2 linked regions of the Schizosaccharomyces pombe genome follow. The gene in region 1 interacts genetically with each later gene. Each region holds a gene or a part of one and is shown on either strand. Other genes may lie near its edges.

Region 1 (7,014 bases):
GTTCAGTGAAATACTAGCAATCCCAAGTTCGGAGGTCTCTCCAGTATCCTTAGTTACTTCATAGTAAGCATCCCCGTCTATACGAATGTCATTCTATCATGTTAGTTGGTTGAACAAAAAAAATAGAGATGTGACAGATGTTATACTTGCTGCTCTTCCAATGCATCTTACCTTGGATTCCTGCTTTTTAACTTGGGCAGGCTTTATGCAAACAGCTCCAGGACTTAAGAAGTCATTCAAGTCATTTACAGACAACTTTGCCATTCTGCCATAAAATTACAATGCTTGCTAAAAGTAAAACCCAGCATTTGTCATTGGCACAAGAAATTCTTTATTTTAGTAATATTATTTGCCACACTGTGGTGCACTATCCTTTTTATGAGACCTGAAAAAAATAAATGAAGTATGGAATAGTGAAACATGGTTTACTGCCTTATTCGTTTGCATTCTCAGTACCCGAAAATCATCAATATATATATATATATGTATAAAAAAGAAGATACTTTATTATAGTATTGTATTTATCAAACAGTTTGAGCTTGTTATTTCCGAATGATATATTTTATTTGTAGATTTAAATAAGTAAAAAAAAACTAAAGAAATGAGGGTAAACAAAACGAGATCCGTATAAAGTAAAACAACGGTTATGGTAAATTAGTATACAAATATTTTCATAATGTTCTTCACGTGTGAAAACTTATAAAAAATGCAAATGTCCATGAATAAACAGCGGGTTCAAGTTAAGGAATGCAACGCACTGAAATAAATACTTAAAGAAGGATAAAAATGCCACATTGGTCAAAAGAAAAAATAGTTAATTTTTTAAAGAATGTGCATGGGAAGTTATAAAATGAAAGGAAAGAAACAGTATATGAAGCTGATCTGGCATTTAGTATGTAAGATTCAATTCAAGAGTGCCAAACATCTAACTTTCGTAGACAGCTTTCAATGTTCTCACAAGTAATGGGTTTCAACAAAACTCCATCAGATTGTAAATCAGTCGGAATGCAAGTCTCGTCCTCGCAAATGTATACAAACGGCACCCTTGAATTTATAGTAGCACTGGTTCGCACTGAATACATTAATCGGGAAGAAGATACTTTATCATTTCCAAAATGTAAGAATACGACGTTAAATTGCTCGTTCTGCAAAAGCTTCTTAAGAATGCTCCATGGATCATCTATTAGAACAAGCGTTAACTTTGGAAAAATTTTTTTCAAGATCTCCGCAAGTTCAATTTCATCCTTAGGAATTATCATTTGTAAACGGTCAAGCTGAAATAACCCTGGATAAGAAATGGCATTTCGCTTATGAGTTAAACTCTGAGCTTGTAAGTTGTCAATCCTGCCCTTCTGAATTGTAGTATGTTCATCTGATGAGGTACCCTCTGTAACGTCTGGTAACGCCGTGTGCATGCTTGATTGCGATTGTGATGCTGACATAGTGCTTGAAACACCCTTATGATCTTCTAACGCTAAATTATCAAAAAATGAAAGCATCCGACCTTCTTTCAGAGAATCAAAATCATCAATTGAATCAATTGAATCTGTAGTAATATCTTGCACTCTTGTCGTGGTGGATGCCTCATAGTCAGCCATTGAAGCTCGACGCGAAGACTTAACAGGACCTACACTTTGAGAAGTTGAAAGTTTGGCTTTAAACCTACTCATGTACTGACTAAAGGTGTCATCAACAGAAGTCTTTGCTGATTTAACAGCCATATGCTCCTTTCTAAGTTTTTGAATAGTATTCCGGTTAGCTTTATTAAGAAAATCCAAGTTTCGATATGTAAAACTTCCAAATTCAGGAGTACTAATCGTATTGCTTCGTAAACGACCTTTACGATTACCAGACACATGCTGGGGTATAGAGGATGCAGGTCTTTCTTCTTCCAATTTTTGTGCTTCTGTCACCGTAGGTTGATTGTAATATTCACTGAAATCAAATCCTTTAAGTCCCCTAGAATCAAAATACACAGTGTCTTCAGGAGAAAAAGGTTTTGGTACAAATGGAGGGTCCTCTTCTAAGATAGTATCCCAGTTAACAGACTTGAAAAAAGGATGTGCTTTTATCTCCTCTACTCCGTTGGCACCAAGCCTATTTGCCGGATTCATACATAGAAGGCGATCAATCAAATCCAAAGCAACACTACTTTCAGCAGTAAAAACTTCGGCAGGCCAATTGATGCGCCTAGCAAGAATATTTTGAAAGACTTGGTCAGGCGTTTCCGCGTTAAACGGGGGGTATCCAAATAAAAACTCAAAAACAACGCAACCCAAGGACCACCAATCACTCGCTTTAATACCAGGATTTCCAAGGATAACTTCGGGTGCTATATAATCAGGTGTACCAATAAATCGCTTAGAGGGATCTTTATTTTCAAAAAACGGTTGAACTCGAGGCGAATCTGTGCTACGGAAAATGTTGGATTCGTCTACCTGAGAAGTAGGAGTATTTGTTGCAGTGGGAGAATCCTCAGCGCTGTTCTCGTAATTGAAACTTTGTCCAGCAAGTCGAATACTAGTACCATCTAAAGAAAGAAGCTTTTCATTTAATGAAGGCCGTTTGGGACGCTCTGGTGTTATCAAAGACTGTGCTTCTAGTACCGATGAAGCAGTACTAAGTGATAAATCAGATATAGCACTAGAGCGATCTCTCAAGTCAAGTACAGGAATTGAAGAACTCTGTTTTCTCCTGTGTCTTTTCATATAACCGACCCGACTCAAACCGAAATCTGTGAGCTTTAAATGTCCGTTCTGTGATATGAGTAGGTTTTCAGGTTTGATATCACGATGAATTATTCCACGATCATGAAGATCACCTAGACAAAGAACAGTTTCAGCTATATAAGTTCGAATCCAATCCAAATCTAATACACCCATGGTTTTCAGAAGTGAACCACAGTCTCCGCCGTTAAGATATTCCATAACTAAATAAAGGTAGTCTTTTGATTGAAAGGTGTAATACAACTTGGCAACAAATGGTGATTCGCCTTGAGACATGAGAATAGCACGTTCAGCTCTAACATTGATAACTTGATTCTTTGCTATCATATTCGATTTTTTTAATATTTTAATAGCAAAATAATCACCAGTAGTTCTTTTCTGAGCCAGATACACAGAGCCAAACGCACCTTTGCTAATCGGCTTCAATATTTTGTAGTCATTGATAGAAGGATGCTCAGGGGCAGAGTTGGGTACAATCGTATGTATACGAGGTGATGGTGATGGTAGACGTAGTCCCACATCTCCAAGGTTGCTGGCCCTTCCACGAGAAAACAAAGACGAACGACCGTTAGATGCTGGGCGATTCGGACCATCAGAAGCCACAAATCTTGGACTCGAATTTGGAGAAAGATACTTTAAATCATCAAAACGAGGATCGGAGAAATTGGAATCAGATGCTTTTCTTCTATGTAACGGAGAAGAATAATTTGAACTATCTTGACTCATAGGCGAACCAATTGCAAAATCTGGATTACTAAGAGAAACATGGCTAAGATGCCTTGAATAAGAAGAGGATCTTGAAAGATCATTGATATCAAGGCTTCTATCAGATTGTGGTGTATTTGTAGCGCTCCCGGGTCGAGTAATGCATTCCTCTGCCTCGAGTGCATCGCAGGCATCAGGAAAGGTAATTGAAGGCGCTAATTTAGATTCCAAGTGTCCTAAAGAAGTAGAGGAATGATTTGTTACCAAATTCGATACGACATCATCAATAATTTCTTGAACATGATGGTCAATTTCCAAACGAATACGTTCAGAGTAATAGATTGCATTTCGAAGACGCAAAACTCCAGTAATTTTAGTATCAACTGCTGTCTTTATGTCCTCCCAGAGAGCAATCACTGCGGATGAGCAATTTTCTAAGGACGGGTTATAATTATCAAGCTCGATAGTAGCTTTTTCTGACCGCGGAGACTGAACACGAAGAGAATCCACTTTATCAAAATTCACAATGATTTTCACTGGAGGAATAGTAATGTCGATAGCCACTTCCAAGTAGTACATAACCTGACTTAAGAATGAACATAGTGATAATGTTTGTTTATTCTCATCGGTAAAAAAATAATCATCCGCATCAACAATAAGCGGTTCATTTTTGTATACGGGAACAAGACTTGAATCTTTCTGCATTCCTTCCTGAATTTCCAGTAAGGTACTCCGGAAATAAAGCAAGGAATCCTGAGCAGCCTGTACAACAGATTCATAGGTGCTTGTGCTAAGACAAAACTTGGAGTGCAACTCGAAAAACCATGATTGTATTTCACGTTCACATATTTGGCAAAACTCTGGGGTCGGAAGTGGTAACGCATCTAAGCTGTTATGCTTGTGATAGGAAGTCCTTAAGTCGCATAAATATTTGTCTAAAAGACTGGCACCGAAACCGATGACATCCAATAATTTAGTTACAAGAGGAGATACACTACCAAGGGAATTGGTAGCTGGGTTCACAACCCACATCGTGTGTGCGGGAATTGCGGACCCAGGATGACGAATGAGAATTCCAATAGCATCAAAAGGTTTTGTAATTTTTTCATCGCTTGGAAGATCTCCTTTAGCGGTGTAATAGTTTTGATTGGCATGATTAGCGTTAATTGAATGTTGGAACCGAACATGATAGCTATGAGAGTCATCCTTCAAAAGACAGTTAACGGCTCTCATAAACGCATTGTATCCATCGGTACCAAGGACTTCTGCTACAGAATGCCCAATGATCTTGTCTTTGGGTATATCCAAAAGTTCGGATGAGTTATCGCTAATAAATTGAAAGTTTCCGGAAAAGTCAAGCTCGAATGCAACGGGAGATAAAGGAATGGAAGGTTGAAGGTTCTCATCTTTTGAGCTGAGAAGCTCTGCCTGGGAATGTTGAGCTTGGTCATCTTCCAAGAAGACTTCTTCGCGTTCGTTTTTTATATGCTTCATATACAACTGACGGAGTCTCCAGCATACAGTAAATTCAATAGAGGGATAGGATCATTAGAAGTATGAGCAGTAAGTATGCTAATTCGACAACTTTTTATATAAAACAAATAAACGCGCTATAAATAACTGAGTCACTGAAAAAACAAAGGAAAGAAAAACGAAGAGTATGAAATACCCAGCTGGATAATTCTAAAACAAACAAAAACAATTCTTTTAATAATGATAGAATTTCCACTCAGTATCTATACAATCAAGCTAGAAAAAAAGAACGATTTTTAGTACTTGGTGGTGGTTAGGAGTTAAGTGGCTTACAACTTAGTATTAGTATTGTGGTTCATTAGTCTGGCCGCATAATTCGTCAACAAATAAAAAATTTTTTCTCTGCTTCAGAACATAAAGTTATGCTTGTACAGCATGTATAATACTAGATAAGTATTCGGGGCGAAGATTTCATAGCAATGAAATGAATTAGGGTGGAGTGCTGTAAAGTAGCCAAGTTGAATCGACAATGTGAAGTAAAATAAACAATTTAAGAACAATTGTTTTAGCTGCTGGATTATAAATAGACAGTATGATGCCTATGGAATTTATAGATGTATGGGCACAAAAAATGGGTAAATACATGGGGTAAACATCAACATTTATAAAAAAAAAATGGTTGCAAAATTAGCACGCAAACGTTTAAAGATATCACTTTGTTTGAAAGAGGATCAATTGCTATGCAGAAGCGTGTTAGATTGGCTGCGCTTTTTTTTTATTATGTCTAGAAAACACAGACTTATAAATAATACCATCATCGCTTGGGAAGTACAGAAAAGTATAATAGAAGAATTTCAACTTGTGGGAATACATAAGCTATTTAAAAGGAAATATTTTGCGATTGCAGCTGATCTCTATATCATTGATTTTTCAATCGAGTGAAAGCAGACGGACTTGTCTTGAGTTTTTAAAAAATAAAAATAAAAAAGCACAGTAGTTACAATTAAAAATAATTATTAATTGGAATATGATATTTCCGTTTTTTAGGAATCGCTTGATCTCTTGTTTACAAAAGTAAATGATATGTTGTTTATTTTTTATTCAGTTTGTGTTACTCTTTTAAAAAGTCTAATATAACAAGATATATGAATTTGGACTTCCTATTATTTTACTTCTTTTTTTTTTTTTTGAAAGTTTCTAAATTTTTCAGAGAACAGAAATCTTAAACTATTTCCTTGCTCATTCAGAGGTGTAAACAAAGAATACGGAAAGCGGTCCATTCTCCCGCAAAGTTATATAAAAAAAAATGGAGCAAGCAGTATACAAAAAATCACATAATTAAATTTATTTATTAAGGAATGTTTTCTCATCAATGAATGTTTCCTTTTGCCTACCTTTTTCGATTTCTGCACCTTTTTAACATTTTAACATAAGGAGTGGTAGTGTAGAAACCATAAACCTAATTAGCGTACTTTCGCTTATTTTAACTTAGCCTTCACATCTTATACTTTTTAACGTATACTAGTCAAAAAATATTTTAACGAGTGTCCCTTAAATGTCGGTATAGACCTAGGTGAAATAAATATTACATATATTATTTACGAACTGGTACTCCCCTCTTACAGCATTCCGTGTAGCGGATAATTGATATTTACGACATGGATACAGCATCTCCAGAAGAGATAGATGCTTTAAAAAGACACTATTTGAAGAAGGAACTTTTCTCTCTTTTGATCGCAGACGAATTGAACTTCGTGAGCGAACCCACCAATTTGGATCATCTCGGTAGTCCATTTGTGGAAAAAGGAAAATCCGTGATCCCCTATGAAAAATCCCAAATTCCCGTTTTACGCTTCATCTTTAAAAGATTTATTTTAACGTTTCCGTTTTTGGATCCTGATAGCCAAAACCAACTTTGGAATGTGAACTTCCGCAATGTACGTAATAATGGATGGAAATGTTTTAAAAGTATGCGGATTGTTACTAACCAGATATTCTTTGTTAGCTATTAAAATCTCTCTCAAAAAGCAATGTCTCTGTTCTCCCGGATGATTCCGATGCTACGCATTTGCACAAATGGTTGCTCAAGTTCCAAAACATGCTTACTCTA
Region 2 (3,851 bases), on another chromosome or scaffold:
TTTAATAGTTATCCTACAGCCTCTAGATCACGAACCGGCTCCTGGCACAAAATGCCGCGATAAATTTTTGGTCCAGAGCACTGAATTGAAGCCAGAATTACAGGGAATGGATATAGCAGATATTGTATGTGATAAAAGATATACTTACATTTACTTTTTTAATACATGCCATACATAATTGATGTTCTAACCAATACTTTAATAGTGGACTCAAGTCAGCAAGGCTAATATATCGGAACGAAAAATTCGATGTGTTTATAGTGAAGGCCCCAGTACTGCAAATGCTCATGCTAATGCTCACCATCAACCAGCTCAAACAACGACTACATCTATTCCTACTTCTGCCACTGACAATTATACCACAGTAAATGGTAATGTTAATCAATCTTACTCTAAAGGAATAGACGGAACGGCACTTCCTTCGACCCATGCAAATCCCGTAGCTGCTCCATCTACAGCTACTACACAGCATACCCAGCTTCCTAAAACATCTGCAGTTTCTCACCAGAAGCCCCATGAAGCCCCATCTACTGCCGTAAAAGCTCCTACTGCAACAGTCGCTGAAAATGAACCTTACCCAAAGCCTCAGTCAGTGCCTACTACCACTTCTCCTAACAATGAAAATAATGCATTAAGATCTACCGCTAATGTAATTAATAACACAAGACAATCAACAGCTACGAGTCCATCTATGTTCGCTGGAAACAGTGGAAATCAAATAGGACTTGCACGCGTTTCATCGTCTTTTGGGCGTCCGACTAGTGGTGCCAAGGTTGTTCCTCAAATTCATAACACAGTTACTGTGCAAACCGCTTTCCTATTAGCCATTATATGTTTCCTTATAGGCCTTCTGTTCTAGTTTTTAAATATATTGATGCATACTGTGCCAACCCATTCCATTGTCATTCCCAATGTTCATACTATTAGTATGACGATGAAAATTGTTTTGTGGATTTGTTTGTTGAAAAGTATGACTTCTTTCATGTACAAGTGGCTCATTTTTTTGTAATTGCTTAAGGTAATTTAATGCCTCTTCCATTCTGTTTTGTGATGTTTTATTGTGCTCTTCCAACTCTTCCAAAGGTAGTAAAGGGACTACAGGCCGATCCTCAAGTTGTCTTAAAACAACAAGCCACGCGCCCGTTAATTCATAGTACGCTTGACTTTTATAAACATTATGGTTGGGATTATGGAATTCTGGCAGTTCGTGGACAACGTTTGTAGCGGCATCAAGAAAAGTAATATTTTTCTCAAAACAAGTAGAGTATGGAGGTAAATAACAAGGAACCATATCATTAAGCGCATGTAAGACAGCCATGTACTTTTCACGAATTCTATTAAATGCGTAATCACCCCTCTTGTCACCACCATAGGGAAATGAGTCATTCAAGTTAATTAAAAGTTTACGCAACGTTTCAACACAAGTATCCATGGACGGCGCCGGTAATATGCCCCGTATATCACGTGCGAGATCAGGATGCTTTTCTACACATTGTAATAAAATTGTAAAAAGCTGTTGTTTGTCTGAATATTGTAGCAGTCTCGACAATGGCAGTTGCTCACCCACAGGTAGTTGACGAGCACGCTTAGAAATGTCTTCGTCAAAATCAGCTTTGCGTTTCTTAATCTGAGAATAAGATAAGGTCTCCATGAATTAAGGAAATGAACAGTAACAACAAATAAAGATACCAACTTCAAACGTGAAATCGTCTGATTAATTATAACAAAGAAAATGAAAATTACAAAGAAATGGATATTCCAAAAGAAAGAGGAAAAAATTTCAAAAGTAGTAACAATAAAACAAAGATAGAGGATACTTTGTTAATGAGCTTCCTTTTTTAAAAGCCGGAAGGATGGCTATTGCTCAGTGTATCGACTTATGAAAGCTAGCAATTTAATTTTTTTCTCAGCCCAAATGAAATAAAACCGTCGATTATAATTTCTATATTACAAGAAGCTCTATTGCCCGCAATACCAGCTCAATTAGAACCTCGATTTCTTAAAAAAGATAATGGAAAATGGTAAGAACAATTTAGTGGCTCAAGAGTTTTCTTCTCATGAGACGTTACCAAACTATTACTTAATTCCTTAATTTGTTTACTGAAAAAATTACATTTTATTTAATATAATGTCACCGCAGCTGAGTGTCAAGCCTACAATAATATGTTAACGCAGTACAGAAAATCGTTAAGTTGGAAGAGCAAAATAATAATTTTTTTCGAAGTAATTGTGCGTATGGATCAATGTTATAGTCAATAACTATTTAACTAATTGTTGTTGGTAAACAGTAGTCAATTCTAACTTATTGGTGATGCTAAAAATGAAAACAAAGCTTCATTTCAACTGATCATAGGCAAGTAATAAAAGCAGGGGGTAGACTTTACGTTCTTGTGTCGACGATTTTATGATCGTTAATTTCGTACTCGATTCATACCAGATACACAAACAATGAATAATTAAAACGATTCATACATCCAGTAAATAAAAAAAATTCCATTAAATTTGTTGTTTGAAGATTTAAAATTGCGTCAAATTTGAAACCAAATAACGCATCTTAATGCACTTGAACGTTTTCACGCTGATATACTTTGATAAACAACGATCACTACGGTTTTACCTACATGAAAAATAATAGAGAAGCACTTTATTATTTTTTTTTGGCAGTTCCAAATTTTCATTTTTTTTGAACTTACTACTTTTTTATTTATTTTGTGAATTACATGATAATTGAACTTGCAAGAGGCTTTTGAAAAACGACAAACGTATGCTGACATCTGATATATAAACGGAATGTCAAATCCAACTATTGAGGGAGACGAAAACCGTAAAGAAAATACAAAAAGCAACACAAAGCCGAATTTTGACGACCTTGATGATTTGGATGGTATGGAACATCGGTAATGTCCTGACTACGATTTGTGTATTACGATATTTCGTTCAAGTGAATTTTGCATTGCATAAATATAAAAAATAATGAGAGGGTAGAAAGGACTTTACATTAAAAGGAAACAACTAACAAAACAAAGATATCCTAGATGATTTAGATGTACCCAGTGCATTTAAGAACGAAGAGAAGAAAAACATAGATGAGCATAAACAAACCGGTAATACATCAAAAGAGAATGAGAGGATAAAGAATGACGATAATTTGAATTCACTTATTCAAGAAATGATGAGCAAATTTGAAGACTTAGGGGGACCGTCTGGCTTGGATGGGAGTCAACTTTCGTCTAGCTTTCAGAATGATCAGTTACTCAATGTTATATTAGAGGATCAGTTTGCAACGGAAAAAGATTCGGATAATGGAGCCGTTAACTATGGTGCTTTAGAGGCTGCCTTAAACTCCCTAATGTCACAAGTTACCAGTAAAGAGATTTTGTATGAACCCCTTAAAGATCTTGAAGCAAACTATCCTAAGTTTTTAAAGAATGCGAAGGAGACAGAGAAGCAAGGTTTTGAAGAACAGTACCAGAAAATTCAGAAATGTATTCAAATTTTTGAGAGTCCCGAATATGATGCTCGTAAAGATGCAGATATCATTTCGAAACTGGTAGAAGAAATACAGGAAAAGCCGCTTCCAGCTCCATTGATTGATAATTCTATGGAAACTGCAGGATGTCCAACCCAGTAAGTGGCTTGACTAAAGGATATGTATCATCGCTGTTATATTATTGAACTTAGGGTTTTGGATTATATATAATTGATTCTTTGTAAAAATTTCCTTATTTTCATTTTCAATTTAGTAACCCACGAACTTAGGTAATTAATTCTTTTGATTGTAACTGCTAAAATATGTTAAGTTGGTTTATATAAAGTTGTTTAGAAGTTTTTAGCTGACATTAGGTCAAGGC

The links. Genes that interact genetically often act in the same process or in processes that back each other up.
Region 2: of cek1 (region 1) and cut8, extra expression of one rescues a mutant of the other (dosage rescue), as found in Schizosaccharomyces pombe (one study listed by BioGRID).

The regions. Positions count from the first base shown.
Region 1 is NC_003421.2:1,747,725-1,754,738, forward strand, and holds cek1 (serine/threonine protein kinase Cek1), read right to left. Parts: upstream 5,220-7,014; 5' UTR 4,926-5,219; coding exon 909-4,925; 3' UTR 538-908; downstream 1-537. Other genes in the region: nar1 (iron hydrogenase), read right to left, coding at 1-93, 172-264; SPOM_SPCC1450.12 (uncharacterized protein), read left to right, coding at 6,563-6,841, 6,910-7,014. UniProt on the Schizosaccharomyces pombe protein: May facilitate the progression of anaphase through direct or indirect interaction with the cut8 protein.
Region 2 is NC_003424.3:4,475,650-4,479,500, reverse strand, and holds cut8 (nuclear proteasome tethering factor Cut8), read right to left. Parts: upstream 2,024-3,851; 5' UTR 1,652-2,023; coding exon 863-1,651; 3' UTR 860-862; downstream 1-859. Other genes in the region: scs22 (VAMP/synaptobrevin-associated protein family protein), read left to right, coding at 9-124, 206-859; protein Pex19, read left to right, coding at 2,791-2,884, 3,027-3,631. UniProt on the Schizosaccharomyces pombe protein: Together with nucleoporin alm1, tethers the proteasome to the nuclear envelope. Involved in ubiquitin-mediated protein degradation and facilitates the degradation of nuclear proteins like mitotic cyclin and cut2. Required for normal progression of anaphase.